2 linked regions of the Mytilus edulis genome follow. The protein of the gene in region 1 interacts with the protein of each later gene in a pairwise test. Links are inferred from orthologs where the notes say so. Each region holds a gene or a part of one and is shown on either strand. Other genes may lie near its edges.

The links. The genes of interacting proteins can lie anywhere in the genome.
Region 2: the proteins of alpha-adducin-like (region 1) and protein lin-7 homolog C-like interact in a two-hybrid assay, tested with the Caenorhabditis elegans proteins (3 studies listed by BioGRID). The link is inferred for Mytilus edulis from reciprocal best matches to the Caenorhabditis elegans genes add-1 and lin-7.

The regions. Positions count from the first base shown.
Region 1 is NC_092347.1:57,416,304-57,426,702, reverse strand, and holds the start of alpha-adducin-like, read right to left. Parts: upstream 4,133-10,399; 5' UTR 3,801-4,132; intron 1-3,800. UniProt on the Caenorhabditis elegans protein: Membrane-cytoskeleton-associated protein that promotes the assembly of the spectrin-actin network. Plays a role in time-dependent memmory loss and the retention of conditioned behavior over time.
Region 2 is NC_092350.1:93,077,783-93,088,349, forward strand, and holds the start of protein lin-7 homolog C-like, read left to right. Parts: upstream 1-6,448; 5' UTR 6,449-6,481; coding exon 6,482-6,521; intron 6,522-10,567.

The sequences.
Region 1 (10,399 bases):
CTTCCCAAGATTCCAGAATCAGCTTGGTACCATTTCTTTCTTGAACTAGTAGCATTAAAAGATAATCTGTCAGAAATCTGAATGAGGTGATCTTATCAATAAGACAGTTCAAGATAAACTGTTGAAGCCTATGGAGATGCACTCAAAATTGAGCAGTAATTCATATTCCTTTAATACATACATTGTATAAACATGTATATGTATGAATTTATTAGGCTAACAAATTTGTTAGAGAAGTACTAAAACATTGTTCTATGAGCATCAGCTTACTCAGCTTTTAATTCAAAACTTTTTTTTAAATTCTGCTCAGAAGTTCTACATGTACATGTACAAAATGTACATTGTAAATTAAAGTCATAAAAAACGAGTAACCGGTGAAAAATATTGTTCTTACAATTCTTGAACCAATGCATACAAACATCATAAACTTAGTCTTCTCACTCTTCTCTGCACGAATTTATCATTTTTTCGCATAAATTTCTTTTAAGGACATCAATGCGTATTGCGATCACCAGATTTTTACGGGATGGGGCACACTGAGGTCACTTTGCATACGGAAAATATGTCGGGGGAATTGCTTCCTGGAAGGATGCAATTAAAATAAAGTAAACTTCTTCTAAATATGAATATATTAAAGAGTTTTCTTCAGAAAAAAGTATATGTACATAAATTTTATAATGAAAACTATCCATTGAGTTAAAACATACGCATTATTTTTTTAATTTGAGGTTTCTTATGACTTTAAGTGACATGCATATATATTCGATTTCCATCCACTAGGTTAATATAAAATTAATCTCATGATATAATTGTACATCTTTTGTTTCTTCCACCAAAAGACAAAAAAACTTGAAGAATACTATAAAAATCACTATATGTCCATTGAAGCTATATACATGTATATATATATACTATAATGTACTATGTACATGCATGTTTTTGTAACATGCATATATACTGGGTACATGAATATGAACTTATATATATAATGATACTATAGGTAAGGAACATTTAAACAGCATATCCTCTATATCATAATCTCAGAGAAATTTTGAACAGATAAGAATTAGTGGCATGTTTTGAAATGTTACATGTCATCACCAGTTCAAATAATCAAGTTGATAACTTTAATAATTAAATCAATATGAAATTAGTAACAAGATGATAAATGTAGTAACATATATAATTAATAGACTAAACACTATCTGTCTGATAAGAGAACAGAACTTCTTACTACCCCCAATAGAGATCACAACATATTAATGTACTGGTCATGATCAGTAGAATAAGAACAAAAAGAATTTCAACATGTTGATTTAATAGAAAATACTGCCTTATCAATTCCATCTCAAAAGAAAAATGTCTCCATGATGAAAGATATATGCTGTATCATACTGACCTAAAACAATATATGAATGTATGTACATTGTATGTTTGATTCATTTCCCTGCTAAAAATTGTTTTGCCATTTCAATTTTCTTGGGGTGGAAATTGGGTATTTAAAATGTACAAAAAAATATATAGTGATGAACCATTATTGAATTTTTTATCAAAATCTGAAGTTGATCAGTTGATATTTGGCCTTTTTCTGCTTCAAATTGACAACTACTACTGATAAGCATACAGTACAGTACATTCAATGCCAATGAATTACTATAAATTGTCCACAAAAATGTATACATGTACAAGTAGTTTAGAGAAAAAAAATCTAAATACTTTTTTTTTAAATTTACATAATTGAGAAATGAAAAAGTGTTACAATCATATATTTTTCAATGACAGAAAAATGAATTCTGTCAGACTCCTTTTGATCTGGTGAGCATGTGTTAAGCTGCAAGAGGAAGCTGTACAGAAATAATTTGGGAAGTTCCATGTCTACCAATATGGAGACAGACAGTGAGAAACTGTCTATGTGAAACCGCATATGTGTCAGACATATCCTTTCCTTGTCAAAATACTGAGATACTTGCAAGGACCAAATTTATGCATATGGTGCAAAAGAATAAGGGGCTGGGTACTGCATAAGTGAAAACTAAAAGACGAGTCTGGTTCAGCGTGTGATGTTGGGTGCCATATCCTACACCCAAACAACTCAACTATGCACATAAATTTCCCAGCAACCATCACATGTATGCCTCTCAATACAGACATCAGGTTTTGGCAACACAAATTATGCCAAGTACCTTCGAGTCAGGTGAAGGAAAAATCTACTTGATTTTATTTTAGCTTCAATAGAAAAACTTGCAAGCACTAAATATCCTGTTTTTAGTTTTGATAAATGAAGAAATTTAACAGAGAAAGTAAGCAATTGCAATACCTGCATAAAGTTAATCACTTAATGTTTGAATAAAAGTATTGTGGCAACAAAAATTAAACATTTAAATTTTTTGGGTGCAGAACTCACAAATTTCATGCATTTTCATTCATGTTTCCTGGAGGAGGTTTTGGCTTGCTACGACACCCTGAGGCTGACCTTTTAACGAAAATAAAAATTGGCTCCATGCCCCTTTTCCGTCATATTTTAAAACGCCTTACCGTAATTTTTAGCTTCATGTAAGTCTAGAAATGATAATTTTATTACTATAATGGATTTAAATTAAAAACGGAAAAGTATTACATGTAATAAGCAAGTATAAAACAATGGTATATTCAATTAAATCCTTACCATTACTGTGCCTTTATATCTTTGTAGAGAGTGCTCTTAAAAGTGTACAAATGTAATCCTCTGCGCAAAATGTACCCTTACAATGTATCCAATTGCGCAAAATGTACCCTTAAAATGTATCCAATTGCGCAAAGAGTGCATTCTGAGAAGAACTTTATCTGCCATTTTCAAAAGCTTCAGGAAACACTATTTATACATTTGTAAATTTCAGATGTCATATTTTCATTAATCTCGATGATTACAATATATGACATCAGTCTAAGATTTGCTTTTTTAATGAAGTCATTGTAAAAAAAATGAATAAGGAATGTTCAAATGAGGTATAAATGGTTAATCTACTGCATCTATCTATAATTTTGTGAATTTCCTAGGTTAGAACAGGGTGTGCACAGAATGTACTGTTGAATATGATTTATTTTTTAGGAAAGCCTCTAATTTCTTCTCTTTTTTTTATCAGTTTACCTTTTTATACTGTACTGTAGTGATCACATTTTGTACATGTTGTTCTTTCATAAAATTAAAATTTAAGTACTGCTAATGGTAATAATGGAAATTGCACTATCATTTTAAGTGCAACAAGAGTATTGGCTGTCATAGTGTGTGAGTAAATGACAATATATAATATATATTCCTATAAATTTGCTTGAATACTAAATCATTTAAAATTAAAACAATCTACTGAATCAGTATGCAATTTTGCATGGATAACATTTGTGATTTGTATAGATTCATATGCCCTATGAATGCGCCCTTTAATTAGGAATAAATACATTTGATAAGATATGAATACTTTGTCAGAACTTTCTGATGTTTTGATGTTGCATTTGATAACATCCGACCTTGACAGTTGCAAAATATGGCGACAGAAAACATATAATTTGATTTTTTTCCCGTAGCTTCTGAACATTTTAACTTCAATGACAATGTTAACGAAACTATCTTCGCATATAACAGTTCTGTTGTAGTGTACACAAATGTATTGCCCATTATTTGACAGTAGACGGACAAGTTTACAAGTAAGCGCTGTTACCGTCTTCACCGGCAGCAGAAGCCGGTCGGACATTACAAATTATCTTTTGATGAGTTGAACAGGGGCGTGCTTTCATAAAGTGGTTATTGACGTTCAATTACTTACCTTTGTTTCTGCTACGAAAATTATTTGATCGTTCGTATGAAAGACTACAATCCCCGCCAATTTTATATTGGCCCCTTTGAACACAGACAAGGCTTTCCCCGATATGCAAATGAGTTGTTTCTAAAATTAGTTCCACTGGCTATTCCATCTTTTGAATACACCCGTTGTTATCTCAAGTGAATGTTCTGAATGTTTTGATAAAAGCAAGCATGGACTGTAAATTATACACTGCATGGGACACTAATATTTTTTTTAAATAAATATTTTTTAATATAAACAAATGCGATATGCTTCAAAGTTATGGTATACACAACAACATACTTAAGAAAGAGGGAGGAAATTCACCGGAAATATGCACCAGCTACCTGAATAATGACATCACTCACATTTTTGTCTGTAAAGGGAAATCATTCATACTCCAAGTTTGAATAGGCGCAAAATTTAAAATGATTTATTATTTGGAAATTACACCATATATGGGTCAATAAAAAAAAATCTTCTCAGGTTTTTTTTTTTATTTAGCCTATGATAAGGTAAGATATTTTTATTCCAATTAAAGGGCCCATGAATAATAGCAAAGTAATTTATTACAATGATTTTTTTATAATTGACACAATAATGGCGGGGGGGGGGGGGGGGGGGGGGGGGGGGACAATAATACCCTGTTGTGACCCTTTTCAAGGTTTTGTTAACTGTTATCTGAGGTAAATTTAAGCTGTAAACTGATTTTCAACCCACTTTGTTAACTGTTAACAGCATTTTTGTATTTGTAAACAGCCAGATCAGATCCACACACATATTAGAAAAAAAGGCATAAGGGGACGACCATTTGATATGGGGGGGGGGGGGGGGGGTCACTCAGCCTTGATAATCCCAAAAATAAATGGTTTGTTCTGTGATAGTTTGCAAATAAATTACCTGACTTGAAATGTATTAAAAATAAATAAATCAGCAGGTATAATCGAAAGATGGCACCAGATTCTTCATAAATTCATCTTTTTTCCCCCAAAACACTTCCCTATTTTTTTTAATAATAGAGGAATAAATATTATCTAAATAGACTTGAAATGTCTGAAAATTGGTTTCATTTAACTGGAGGTATATTGTATCAGGAAACCTTACCTCACTTTTATTTTATTACAGGGCCGTAACTACATTGAGGCAAATGCCTCATGTAGGAAATTTCAAAACCAAACTCTTGTCTCCATATCAAATTGGGTTCACGGCGAGTGCCTTGCAAGAAGCAAGTTCTGTTTTCCCTCAGACTTACATTTGTAGCCCTGCTTTTTCGGGATCAATAATTCTTATTTATTTGTCTTTTGTTCATTGATTGCCCTTCTGTATTCTGTTAGTGTTGCATTCCTTTTGTAATCTAGTAATTTTGTTCTGAACTTGAACATGAATTTAAAAAAAAACAGCAGCCACAGACTTAATTATGTGAATTTCATTTTTGCTTTATCATGCACATTGGTCTTTTGATGTTGTCCCTAGAAACTTAAGTCTTACACTGATTATTTTTGCTTTGAGACCAACATATTGTCAAAAAATTATTAAAACAAAACTTGCATTTTCAGATTAAGAAAGGGTCTTCGGAACACCCAGAAAGCATAATTTTGCATCATTTGTTCTAGTGCTGGTAGATTAGAAAGACTTGTATATTACAGTCGACCATTTTACTGTATGGCTATTGACACCGTAGCTATTTATAAGAGTACAGTTATATACTAGTACTACACTATATGTTGTATGTACTATATATTTACTACGTTTATTCATACATTCATTCATAATTCATTCATTCATTCATTGACGGACAATTAGAAAAAGACTTTACTCTATATACTACTCTGCACGAAGTTATTATGCATGCAACCCCGCCACTTTTTCTAGCACTATATATACGGCGAACTCGGACTAATGCGAGTTTCACACACTTTAGCACACACGCTACATAAGGGACACCTAACTTTTTCCCTACTTTCAGGTAAGCACATTTTCTTTTAGGCCTTATCATGCATGTACTTCTATCCAATTCATAGTTCAATTTATAAGGAAATTTCAAGTTAACATTTGAAATAAATGTTTATTATAATTATGTACTTTCAGTGTGAAATACATGGTTTGCAACATTATATTTCGTCACATATTCAACGCCCTATTTACGAAGATCAAGTGGCCATATTACCCTATGACACTATAAATATTATACAAAAGAGTATGATACGCATACTAATCCTGCTTCTATTTGAAGCGTACGGATACGTTTGAATCATTGTTTATGTTGCAGTTTACTTTGCGATCCCCGTTAAAATGCTGTTGTTTTAATGAAAAGTCACGTCGGTAAAATATAAATACATGTATTCATGAGTGAATTATAAAATGTCTGTTAAAACATTAGTTTGTACTGTACATTGTAGGAATATAAAACGTGTATTCGTACTCGCTCTAGAAAGCTCTGCAAACACTGCCATTATCTGGCATTTAAATTAAAGCTGTCACAAATAAATGGCGCATATTCCGACAATAAAAGAATTTTGTATTTGTAATTTTCAATGACGATTGTATGGGAGGTTGTAACATTAGTATGAACGCGGCAAGCAGATTAGCTACATCCAAATATTCAATATGCTTCGAATTGTTAAAAATTCATTTGACCTGAAATATAATATTTGCAAAACATAAATTACCTTTATAGCAATTAATAATTGGTCGGACTTGTTAATTTAGAAACAATCACTTCAGCCTACCGATAAATTGTAAAGCCTATATGTTATACCTTAGCATAATAGCTTTTGCAAAAAGACTTTTTAAACCTCGATTTTTTAATACATCGAATCTTACCCTTTGGACCATCGCACTTTAGCGTGATACACCATCGTACTTTAGCGAACAAAAACAGTCGCACTTTAGCGTGAGACACCATCGTACTTTTAAAACACATGGTATGGGTAAAATCTCTTTGTTCTTACTGTGCTATAATCTGGATAATGCACAGCAAAGGTGTACCTCAGATATACTGCACAGTTCAAATCTATTTTAACCTTTAGGGGAGGTTCCTAGATTTTGAAAGGGGCGTTATTCTATCAAATTAAAAAAAAATATATCACCGAGCGTCGCGAGACTAAAAACAATATTGACGATTTTAAGGCAAAACACGATAATTTGTCCAATCCTAGGGTGAACGACATGTTCGTCCCCACCCCCGAATCCGCCATCTGCCTTGAAATTACGACAAAACTGAACTTTGTACAAACATCGTAGTTTCAGAATAGGAAAAAAAAAGGTTTCTCATTCCTTTTTTTCATCTTAGCTTGAACATAAAATGTTTCAGTATTATATTTTGCGTACAACATAAATCTTAAATCAGTGTTTTAAAGTCAGAAAGAAAGTTAAAACAATTTTTGGTAACTTCCGCCAAAAAAGAAATGTATCTAAGAATATCCGAATAAAAGAAATCTGATTTGGACTAGTTTTAGATTCAATGGATTTTATAACGACTTCTTACACGGTGGGTATGGTTGTCCTGCGAGAGAACGTACTGTGCTGGTGATTTGGTCCTGACGGGTGCTGGTGGGTCCTGATTCTGTGCTGGTGGGTTTGTTTACATTGTATCAGAACGGCAATAAAACGACTGTTTTGTTGCTTAATTTTTCTCTGATGTGTCATAAGTACCATGCAAAGTATATTACAACAATATTATATTGCAAAAGTCGTGCAAGTTCGTTAAACGGAATTGTCCTGACGCTGTGCTGGTGATAAGAAAAACGGTCCTGGTGCTGTGCTCCTATGTCCTGGTTCTGTGCTTTTATATTTTGTTAAAAGTGGCATATATTCAAGAGCATTGATGCTGTACTGTTGTTGACTAATTAGCTGTTGTCTGCTTTCTTGAAATTGACATTGTTGTGAATCTGTTTACTGTTATTATGAGAGAAAAAATACCCCTATTTAAAAAAAAAAAAAAATGAAATTAACTGTAATCTTATTTATTGGCCTGTTAATGGAACCCTTCTTGCCCCCTTTTAAGATAAGAAAATATGTTTACGATTTTCGGGATTACGATCATTTTGCAAGATCACCAAAATACGTTGTAATTTATACAATACTTAATATAATGTAGATGATGTGGTATGTTTGTTGTCAATGGACAAATTTCCATAAGAAACCAAAGGAAGTATGTGTTAACAACCATACGTCATCGTACGACCTTCAACAATAACCCATAAAATAAAAATGTGAAAGGTTTTGCATAAATATAGAACAAAGGACTTTCTGAGCGTTTGAATCATGTCTTTAGCAGCTTAAAACACATTTGTTTGTGAACAATTGAGTGTTGACTATAAGAATGACAATAGTATTGCGGGTTTGTTTGTTTGGTGTTTTTTTTGGGGGAGGGTGGGGGAGGGAGGGGGATAAGTTAGAGCGAGGTTACAGTGAAAGCTTGGAATAGTTTCCCGTAAAATTTTAAAGGTGGGTTGTAAAAGAAAAATGTATCTTATATTAGCCTTGGTCACACCTTACCGGATAGCTCGAACGGACGCCTAACAGATAACTTTTTCTCAATCCGTTCATGTCCGTTGGACGTCCGTTCTTATCCGTTAGGCGTCCGTCCATATCCGTTGCATGTCCGTTAAGCGTCCGTTTTATCCGTTGACGTCCGTTCTGTCCGGTGGAAAATTTTGAGCATGTTCAAACTTTGAACGGACGTCCAACGGATAAAATGTCCGTTGAACGTCCGTTAGGCATCCGTTTTGTACGGTACTCGTCCGTTTTGTATCCGTTATGCATCCGTTGGAGATCCGGTAGACCAATTCACCAACGGATGTCTACCGGACGCCTAACGGATAAAACGGATATTAACGGAAGGATAACGGATAAAACGGATGACTACCGGATGTAAAATGGACAAATGCCAATTGAAATTTCTCATGGTTTATTGCCTTTAATTTTTAGATGGTTTATTGCCTTTAATTTTCAGATTATTTTGTTCATCCGTTTTATCCGTTACGCTTCCATAGCGGTGTCTGTTTTATCCGGTACTCGTCCGTTGGATGTACGTTCGACGTCCATTCTGTCCGTTACGTATCCGTTTCACGTACGTTCAGTGTCCGTTGTGTGTCCGTTTGGCATTCGTTACATGTTCGTTAGTACACCAACGGACTCCCAACAGATACAAATTTTGTCAACGGATAACTTTTTTTTTATCCGTTAGGCGTCCGTTCGAGCTATCCGGTAAGGTGTGACCGAGGCTATAGCTATTAAGAATCACGCTGTAAGATTTTTCCAAAATATTTTTTTTTGTCTAAGCGGTTATCAGGTATTTGTTTTTCGAAAATTCGATAAAACACTAAAAAAATCACTATTTTATATGAAAGGGCAAGCTAGAATATGTCAGAGAATGAAGACGAGATAACCTAGAAAACACTAAAAAAACCTAAGATTTCTTAGCTTTTTCATTTCAAAATAAATATTTTTGATAAAGAATTACGGGGGAGGAAGTGAACAATGTGTCCTACTTTTCTATATTTAAATATTTTTCATGAATAAAAATCAAATGTGCCTTGATTATAATTGAAAATGAGTAAATGGAAAAAATACCCAACTAAAATACACTTTTATTTTAATATTGGTAATATCACTAAGCTTTTAAGTTTTGTGTGTCAAACACACCATCTCTGTAGTTATGACTCCTTACTAAGATATTTCACTTCATTCATTTTTTTTCTGCATTTTTTTATATTGTGAATTCATAGAATTATTATATTAAAATGTAGCCTTAATTTATATTTAAAAAACATAAACACGCCTGGAAAGTAAAATGCGTACTCGGCTGTCTGTAATCGACCATTTTTAGACACCCCAGGCTCCTAAAAAACAAGCCGGGGTGGGGGTTCAAAGATGCAAATTAAGTACTTATATCAATATTTTATCTTTTCGTGTACGGTTTATGACAATGTCAATTACGAAATGTGCATATATCAAGGGGAAACTTCTTGCAAAGCATTATTATTTATTATAGTTCATTATTGTATTTAGTAGAAAAAAGAGAATTTAGTGAAAATAAAATCACTATTTTTGTAGAAAATTCACAGACCTTTGTACAGAGATTTTTGTTAAGTTTACCATGGGATCAACACAAGGGTTCATTACCGAGTAAACAAATCAAAATGTCTATCTACCTTGCACATTTCAGAAAATTCGGATCAGATAACGAAACTAGGTCCAGCAACATTTATAAGCAATTTAAGATTTTGACCCTCACAGTTTCCATTCACCACAAATATTCTCGTTACAACGAATCATTTTAAATACAAAAATACCAGTTGCAGCCTTTCGTTTATCTATTAATACATGTATACGGATGAAGTTATGAAAGGCAGCAGGGTCATCAGGGTGAGGAGTCCATGTCATCTGAAATAAATGCTAAGCATAGATCTAGAAAGCGACAGATAATCATGACATTAACTTAAACTCTCTTCTTAACGACTTTTTTCGAACAAATTGACACATAAAATGAATTATATAGTATTGTGGAATTTTTAACTTATTTTAGATAGGGGAGACAGGGGTTGAATGAGACACTTTTTATGTTCTTGTCTATA
Region 2 (10,567 bases), on another chromosome or scaffold:
TTTAATCCTATAATACATGCAGCGGGATTTAACTCGTATTTGTTCGTGAGACCATGGAAGTATTATATTGACGTCAATATAATACTTCCATGGTGAGACGTAACGGCTCTCGAAATTTGTTTACCGCAAATACCTCTCATGTCAAGCATGATATATATTCTGAGGATAAATTTAATGAAAGTTTTAATTTGAATGTCGATTTTTATATTGGGTCGCTTATGTGTAGTCTACGACTAACATACAGTACATTTTTATGCCCCACCTACGATAGTAGAGGGGCATTATGTTTTCTGGTCTGTGCCTCCGTTCGTCCGTGCGTCCGTCTGTGCGTCCGTCCGTTTGCTTCAAGTTAAAGTTTTTGGTCGATGTAGTTTTTGATGAAGCTGAAGTCCAATAAACTTGAAACTTAATACACATGTTCCCTATAATATGATCTTTCTAATTTTAATGCCAAATTATAGTTTTGACCCCAATTTCATGGTCCACTGAACATAGAAAATGATAGTGCAAAGTTCAGGTTAAAATTTTTGTCAGTCAAGGTAGTTTTTGATGAAGTTAAAGTTACATCAACTTGAAACTTAGAACACATGTTCCCTATGATATGATCTTTCTAATTTTAATTCCAAATTAAAGTTTTGACCCCAATTTCACGGTCCACTGAACATAGAAAATGATAGTGGGAGTGGGACATCCGTGTACTATGGACACATTATTTCTTGTTTTTAAATACATACTTCCTAGAAAAGAAAAGAAAACTAGTATCTATTTTGATAGTTATCGGCTTTTTGAAAATGCTTTAAAAGACTCAGTTGTTTAAGAGACTTCTATTAAAGTAAGGAAGATCACTTTTAATATGCACGATTTGTATAAATGTTTCAAAGAGATATATTTGTATAGAGATTTTTTTATCTAAGTGTATCATGTGTATTATGTTTCTATTTTTTTTTTCTATTCTTATTTTTTTACACGACAAAATAGCAAAACACTACCGGAGCCGCAGCCGGTGAAATAGCCACCAACTTTTTTGTTTTGTTTTTAACAAAACATTAACTAGTTTTAAATAAACATGCCACTTATGCACCAGGTATTAATCACCTTTATTAAGATGGAAAACTGGAAAACTTGAAGAAGAGAAGAAAAGAAACTATTTTGCGGAGCTGTCAAAATCATGAGTATAGCCTCTGTCTTATTATATATAGCGACAATGATTTGTATATTTACTATAAATCCTTGATAAACAAACTTTTATTGAAATCATTTATGAATATTAATTTTGTCAGTTTGTGGACGATTGTTCGAATTTTGTCCAGAGCGATGAGTTATCCCAGAGACATGTTATCCTGACCTCTGGGAAGACAATCTCACGAAAGCAAGGAGACAATCGTTAGTATTCTGTCAGACCCTGACATGAGTAAGGTCACTTCATTGCCACCAATAAAACCTAAAGCAGGTGATATATTTGTCATTGAGTCTATTAACACGGAGGACTGGAAGTGTGATCAGTACTTGTGGATACGTGATGGAGGTAGAACAATTAAGATCAAGGGTGTTGAAATAGGTAAAGTTTTTTACAAAGTAAGAATTCCAGGTACTGAGATAAAATCTGGGCGTGTAAGACCGAGGTTTTCATTAAAATTCAAAAAGGTCGGCTATTGGTTGACAAATAGACCTACATTGGTTTTGGTTCATTACATTGGCGATGAGACGATATATACACCTATGGCACATGGTAATAGCAAACATGATGGTGAGTTCAAAAGAACAATGCCATCAGTAATTGATAAGGTAAAGGACCATGTAGGTAGTGAGGGTGCCAAAAAATTATATAGGACTATGGTATGTTCTGAACAAGTCGAGGGTAACATGCAAGGTGTAGCTAATCCTAGGAATAGCAAACAGGTAAAGAATGCACTTCAGAAGCGGCGAGGTGATCAGTTATTGAGTAGAGATGATTTATATATTTTTTTTCAGCTATCTTCCCATTTAGATGGGTTCGTGAAACAGTTAACACTTTACCCAGATTTAGTGGCTGTTGTAAGCTTACCAGAAATCATCACTCAATTTAACCAACTCTTAGATGTTAAATCTGATGAACAGCTTTATTTATCTTATGACACCACATTCAACCTAGGTGATTGTTACGTTTCGGCCATAGTATTTAAACATATTCTTTTCAAAGAGACACCTCTTATTCCTTTGGCTTTTGTTATTCATGATAGAAAATTTGGAAGTGTTCACGAGACTTTATTTAACTTTTTGAAATTTGCTGTTCCGAAAATTTCCAAAAAAAGAATTCCCATTGTAGTGGACAGAGAAGCTGGTATACGAAAAGCTATTAAAAATATTTTGCCTGATTGTCCTATACTTACATGCTGGAATCATTTACGAAACGATTTTAAGTACTGGTTGAATAAAAAAAAAGTTTCTCCTGATAATATCAGGCTATATCATCATCAGTTAAAACAGATGCTTCAATGTGACTCTGAGAATGAATTCTTAGAGCTTTCCAAAGATCTGACATCTAAATGGACATCCGAAGTTGTGTCATATTTTGAAAAAGAGCTAAAAACTGATATTTTAGAGAGATCAGGAAAATGGGTTTTAGAACAGTTTGAAGGTTTATATGACCCATACTCAGGTATCACAAACAATCTGTCAGAAAGTTATAACGCTGTTTTAAAACAAGAAAACGATTGGAAAGAGTTACCAGTTGATATGCTTGCTTTGGGTTTTCATTTTCTACAAAATTTTGATCACTACGAGATTCTTAGAGGTTTGGCAGGTGTTGGGGACTATCATTTAAAAACAGAGTTTTCGAGGGCAAAAATTGACATACACGATTTGTTCATACCTAAGAAACTCATAGCACCATCCGATATAATTTCGTACCTGAAAACAGCACACATAAATACACCACAGTTGTCGTCTCCGTCTGCTGAAACGACAGAAACAGTGGAAGATCTATCCGATTCTAAAACTGAACATAGTACACCCACCACACCAAAAGAAAAAGACACTCCAGTCATTAATACTATGTTTGACTTTCCTGCTTTTGTTAGTAGTCAGCACGCTTTGGCAAAGTATATAGTTGACAACAACCTAATCACACTTGTTCCATCTCAAGCAGCTTTCATTGTTCAAGGTCGAAATGGTAAGTATTGTGTCACTTTATTTCCGAAGGAAACTTGTCAGTGTCCATCTACTACTACATGCTTTCATATCCTTGCAGCAAAAATGAGCATTGGTCAAGAACCCATTGAAAAAAGACCAGTAGTTAGTCTAAGAGTTTTAACAAAAAATAACAGAAAGAGAGTTGACAAAAAATCAGGAAAAAAACAACCTAGGCAAAACGATTACGATCCTGTTGTAGAACCAGCTCCAGACTCGGCTTATTTAGTCAACACACCAAAAACACCTTCACAAGTACATTCAACACAGAAATCACCACAGAAATCAGCATTAAAAACAAAATCAAAAACACCACATTCTAAAAAGAAACTTCACTTTAATTTGGAGACTGTTAGCGAGGAAGAAATTGATACATGTCCTATTTCACCAGACGAAAAAAAGGATAACATAATTACATTAGATGACACACCACCAGGTCAAAAAGAGAAAACTTGACTTTCCATCTCCGCCAATTTCGATTGAAATTGAACAGGAAAAAAAAACAACCATGGATAGGTACACTTACACAAGTAGACAAAAAAACTATTTCAGATAGTAAGTGCTTAACTTCCGACATTGTTAATTATGCACAAAACATTCTTTCAAAACAGTTTCCATTAATCCATGGTTTTCAGAACACATGTTATGCTCCAGTTTTCTGTAATCAACAAAAAAAATGGCTTTCTGAGACAAGTTTTACACCTACACAGGCTCCAGCTGTACAAATTCACCATACAGGGCATTCACACTGGGTCACTTCTTTAACCAAACAATCAAATGAAGTCTATCTATTGGACAGCGTGTATGACACACTTACAACATCTTCAGAAATACAGCTTTCACAAATATATTCACATGGTAAAAAAAGGCTTTTGGTCAAGTTACCAGAAGTTCAGAAACAAACTAATTCCATAGATTGTGGGTTGTTTGCAATTGCAAATGCTGTAGAATTTTGTTTTACAAGTTTTTCAGGTGGGATACATGTAGAATTTGACACTGAACTTTTAAGAGAACATCTTGTGATTTGTTTGGAAAAAGGTGAATTTATTCCATTTCCAAAAAAAAAAATTAGCATGAAAGGTAAACCGAAATATAAAACCAGTGTTGTAGAATGTAACTGTGAGTGTGGAAAATGTGATTCAGTAGAAGACATGTTAGGATGTGAATGGCAAAAAGGTGTTAAAAAATGCAACAGTTGGAAATAGTTATCAAAAGTACCAGGATTATAATTTTATACGCCAGACGCGCGTTTCGTCTACATAAGACTCATCGGTGACGCTCAGATCAAAATAGTTAAAAAGCCAAACAAATACAAAGTTGAAGAGCATTGATGACCCAAAATTCCAAAAAGTTGTGCCAAATACGGCTAAGGTAATCTACTCCTGGGGTAAGAAAATCCTTAGTTTTTCGAATAATTCAAAGTTTTGTAAACAGAAAATTTATAAAAATGACCATATAATTGATATTCATGTCAACACCGAAGTGTTGACTACTGGGCTGGTGATACCCTCGGGGACGAAACGTCCACCAGCAGTGGCATCGACCCAGTGGTGTAAATAGTTATCAAAAGTACCAGGATTATAATTTTATACGCCAGACGCGCGTTTCGTCTACATAAGACTCATCGGTGACGCTCAGATCAAAATAGTTAAAAAGCCAAACAAATACAAAGTTGAAGAGCATTGATGACCCAAAATTCCAAAAAGTTGTGCCAAATACGGCTAAGGTAATCTACTCCTGGGGTAAGAAAATCCTTAGTTTTTCGAATAATTCAAAGTTTTGTAAACAGAAAATTTATAAAAATGACCATATAATGGAAACACTTTTCATGTACCGGATTAAAAGATGGTGACACATTCCTTTGCTCTAAACACATTACTAATTAGTGAATAAACACCTTTGATGATTTGACACCAATCAGTGACTTTGAAGTTTTTATTACTGTCAAAACTTAATTTGGGATATTATAGTTTTTATTTTATTTGGTTTTTATTGTTTTGCATGATTATTTATTTTATATATATGTATGTGTATAATTGAAATGTTTTTGATTAATAAAATATAAGCCCATGCCCTTTCAACGATATGTCTGCTGCCTTTAATAAATAAATCTGAAAATAGATCAAATTATTCAACATAGCAAATAAGTAAATATTATTTAAATAAACACACAGATAATTGTATTTTCTTTCTTTCATATTTCCATAAAGCTGAATATTCGAACTTTCCTATAAACATGATTGTTCCTGCCAGACATTAATTTTGAAGAAAAGATTAATTTGATTTTAAGCGAATTTCTACCAATTTTTTTACGCATAAGGCAACTGTCCTGGCAGATTTTTTTTATGTTAATGAAATAAAAGTCCATATTTTTTTATATTTTCTGGAAGCTTATACTCTAAACTTTACAATGCACCTACTTTTGTTTACCAGACATTTATTTTGAAGAAGATATTAAACTTTATATTATGACCTTAGACTAATTTCAACAAAATTTCTGACGTAATAGTCTACTGTCCCGGCAGATTTTCCTACCTTTAAAAGACGAAAAAAATATTGAATTGTAGATTTTAGAAATAAAAGTTTGTTAAACTTTATTATCATACAAAAATAATATGCCAGACAGTTGATTTGGAGAATTTATTTCAATTATAAGTAAAAAATTCTCGGCAATTTCAGCCGTTTTTAGCTTAAAATTTAATGGAGTAGGCTACTGTCCTGGCAGATTTTTTTTACGTTAATGACATAAAAATTCATATAATTTTATATTATCATAAAGCGTATATTCTAAACTTTCCAATGAACTAACATTTGTTTACCAGACATTTATTTTGAAGAAGATATTCAACTTTATATTTTGATCCTGAACTAATTTCAACAAACTTTCTAATGTAAAAGTCTACTGTCCTGGCAGATTTTTTTACCTTTAAGAGATGGAAAAAAAATAAAATTATAGATTTTTATAATTGATATTCCATAAACTTTACAATCGTACCAAAATATTATGCCAGACAGTTGTTTTGGAGAAAATATTCCAATTATAAGTAAACTTTTCACGGCAATTTCAGCCATTTTTTTCTTAAAATATAACTGTCCTGGCAGATTTTTTCTTACTTCTTAATTTTTTTTATATGTTTTTTTTATTAATAATGTTAGTAAATACTTTCTTCTTTATTATACAATTAAAATTTTAACCATGTGTTGAGTAAAACAAAAGTTACAGATAAAAACGTATCGAAAAAAAGTGTCCTGGTTTTATCTGTCCTGTTAATAGACCTTCCCTCCAAGGGGAAACAACTGCAACCAGGAAGTCATGGCGTCGATAAATGTTGAACCGCTTCATTTAGAAAAAGGTAAATTACGATATCAAAGCATATGTTGCAATGATAAACATTGTGTAGAGCGAAACAGAAAAAAAAAGCCTTTTACACCTTTGAAAGATATTTAACGTTTTTGGTTTTGTGTAACTAACTAACTAACTAACTAATTTTATTCAGTATAGAGGGGGGGCAAGGGGGTCCCAATAACAGCAAAACAGCAAATTGATTTGGCTCATAACAGATAACAAGGAATTAAAATGGACAAAAACAGATAACAGTAAATGAAATATTAAAATAATTCGGTCTTTGACAAATCAGTATTTCTTATTGCGGATATAATCCTTTGTAATGCGTTCCATTTTTTATGACTATGTTTTTAGTATTAATTTATGTAACTAGAATGTGTTTAAATTACTCCTCAAATAATATTTTTTATACGCTCGTTTACAGAACGTATTATGGTATACTGTTGTCCGTCTGTTGTCAACATGTCGGACATTAACTCAAAAACTCTTTAACCATTTGCATTAAACTTTGGGAAATTGTTTATATCTATTGACGTGAGCTCCCTTTTTTTTTTCTTTTTTTTTTTTTATAAATTTTAGATTTTAAGTTTCTGGATAATGGGTTTTTATTCAATAAAATTGGTGGTTTTTTTTCAGTCTTCTGATAATATCTCAAAAATGCTTTCACAAAGCAAGGAATTTTGTTGAATTAACATGAGGTAACTTTCAATTTTTATAAATTTTAGATTTTACGTTTCCGAGTTAACGGGTTTTATTAATTAAAAAGGGGTGATTTTCCAGTTTTCAGACATTAACTCAAAAATGTTTTCAGCAGTTCTCATGAATTGTTGGTGTATTGTTTATATATATTGACTGAAGCTCCCTTTGTTGCTAATCAAAAAAGTGACCTAAAAGAGTTTGAATATTCTGAATTTTTCTAAATGACCATTTAATGAGGTGTGTGATTTTTTCTTAATAAAACTATGAGGCGAAGTGGTATATAGAGTAGAAAAATCAAAAGCACCAATTATAAGCATGCAATTTATCAAGTACTTCGAACGAATTTTGACACTCTAAAAGCAATTAATTCCACTATTTTCAAAGGCCTTTTTTGAACAATTTTTTATCAGCTGAGGTTTTTGATTGTACCAAGTGTACTAGTAAGTAGAATACATAGTTTAGTAGGGAAACAATGGCTTGAAACGAAATAAATCTTTGTTTGTAATGAGTTATGTGCAGCTTCGGACCCAAGTACATGGTTGGAACTTTCATTGTACAATGCATTTGGTTCTGCTTTGAAAAGAATCACAGAGCTGAGTCTATGTACAATATTATATAAAAGGTTAAGTGGTTGTTAGGACCTAGTCCTTAATTGAGATCCTTGTCAGATATTCCTGGCCATATGTTTTCCTTTTTGTCATATTAAAAATTGTTTTAATTTAATATGTTCGTACGGAAAACAAGGAACATTATTCTCATACAAAAAATTAAGATAATTCTAAATACACATTCATAAAAAAAATGGAATTTATTACAAAGGATAATCATAATTGTCCTGGACCTCACTTCTGTGATGGGTATATGTTAATGGAATCCTTCTCTGAATACGGGACAAACATATTAGTAGTGGTAGACCCCAATGGCCAATGATCTTCAATTTATACCGAATATTGACTGTCAAAAAAAATGCTAACATTCCAATTTTCAATAACAGTTAACAGCAAATACATTATCACAATAACAGATAACAAAAAAACTAAAAGCCCAATAACAGCTAACAAAGAATAAGACAATAACAGCTAACAGCAAATATATTTTCAAAATAACAGATAACAAAGAATAAAATTGCCCCATAACAGCATAACAGTTAAACCCCTTGCCCCCACCCCCCCCCCCACCCCCACCCCCACCCCCAGTATAAAATCCAGTACAAAAGGATCATTGCTGAAACACATAAACACATATAAAAAACATATACAAAACAAAAATAAAACATAACAGACAACAATTTTGACACTTATAACAAGCAAAAGACAAAACTCACATTTCAATATTATGCAATTATTCCCACTGATGAATGTCTAATCAAAATACATTTGTCTATATATATAAGAAAACTGGTGAGAACATCAGTCTCCGAACAGTTCATTAAATATTTAAATTTATCAAAATTATCTAAATTGCAAAAACATGGTATAATATTAACAATGTCATCATAAAACATTTCCCTCTCCTCGTGATAGAGGTTGCATTCACATATATATGAAATGAAACTCATCTTCAATTTTGTTATCAATACAATGTGTACATATTCTTTGATCCAAAGGCGTTTTATTATATCTGCCTTTTTCAATGTGTAAACTGTGGTTAGAAATTCTTAATTTACATAATTGTCTAACATATTGTTTTGGGATATTTAACTTTGTATAAGTCTCAGGTTTATATTCCTCTTTTAACTTGTAATATGTTCGTAGTTTGTTTTGCTTTTCATCTGACAAACATGAGAAAAAGTAATTTCCATATCTTTCTTGTAATATCTTTTTCACTGCAGATATAAGTTTTCCTTCTGACATAGTTCCTTTATTATTCCAAACATGGTCAAAATTAATTAATTTTAGAAACTTAAAAATGTGTTTATTGAAGGTACATGGAAAGGTACAATCAACTTTTTTGATTGACTTATATGCTAATTTTGAAAAATTCAAAAGAGGGTCTTTATACAAATATAGCCAGTATTTAAGAGATTGCAAAATAACAAATATAGAGATTGGATAACGACCAAGTTCTGCCATACTGGCAATATTAGGAGCATATTTAGTGGCACCAAGTACATATTTACAATATCGAATGTGAACCTTTTCAGGAGCAAAATTTAAAAAAGTTTTTTCTAAATCATCATTTGAACCTTGTGTTAATCTTTTGTCCAGGTTAAGAATGTACGGACCCCACAATTCACTTCCATAGAGAAGGACTGGTTTTACACAGGAGTCAAAAAGTTTTAAAAGCAAAGGTGTATTATTATGTGTACAGTGAAATTTACGTTTAATCATGAAAATTACTTTAAGCATGTTAAGTGCTTTCTTACTAAGATCTTCAACTGCAGTACTGAAAGAACCAGATGCTCTCATTACAATACCTAGGTATTTATACTCTTGAACACTTTTCATCAGATTTTGCTCAAAATAAAAATTACAGTCTTTCAGTAATTTACCTGATTTGTTAAATACTATTATTTGAGTTTTTTCTATATTCATTGATAATTGCCATTTTTAAAGCAATTGCTTTTATGCCGTCGCGTATGGCCATCTTTGTGACCCAGATCAGAGACTCCGCCCAGATCAAGCCATAGTATTTTGTTAAACAGGCTCCTGGTCAGTCATTCTTTAACACCTATGTATGTTTTCTAATGCAATACATAGCTTGAAACTTTAAAAAAAAGTTAGTGGGTTTAAGAAGTTTCAGAATATGTTCTTGTAGATGTATTTTTGTATTTAAAGGGTCAACCGTTTGACTATCAAATAACATAGAAGTCCGAGTGAAAAAAGTACATTTTTATAAATGCGATTCCGTTTTCCGCCGTTCGTACGATGTTTCAACAAAATATGGATTCATTTCAGTTGTTGATTTAGTATTGAAAATTTAACTGAATTATCTCCTAATAAATACGGTTTTTTATGTTTAATTTGTGTTTCTTTTTTCAGGTGCTCTTGTTCATTCATAAAATTATCGTTCATTCATACATTTATCGTAAAATCAAAATCACTACACAGGTTAATGCGTAGTGTCAAATTATTACCTGTAATCTAAAAATAGACAAACTTTATTTGCGCAAATAATTTAGCGGAACGAAACCCTTGTTGAAAACACATACAGTCAGAGCTCTGACATAAACAAGTCAGAATAAAATGACTTCCATAGGTCAGATATAATTTGATGTAAGTGTTGTCTCCCTTCTTGCACTCAACAGAATATGACTTGTACAGGTCAGTTTATGTCAGACTTTAATTTATCATAAAATGACTTCCACAGGTCAGCTTTTGCATAAAATATTGTGACTTAATATCTTCATATTCT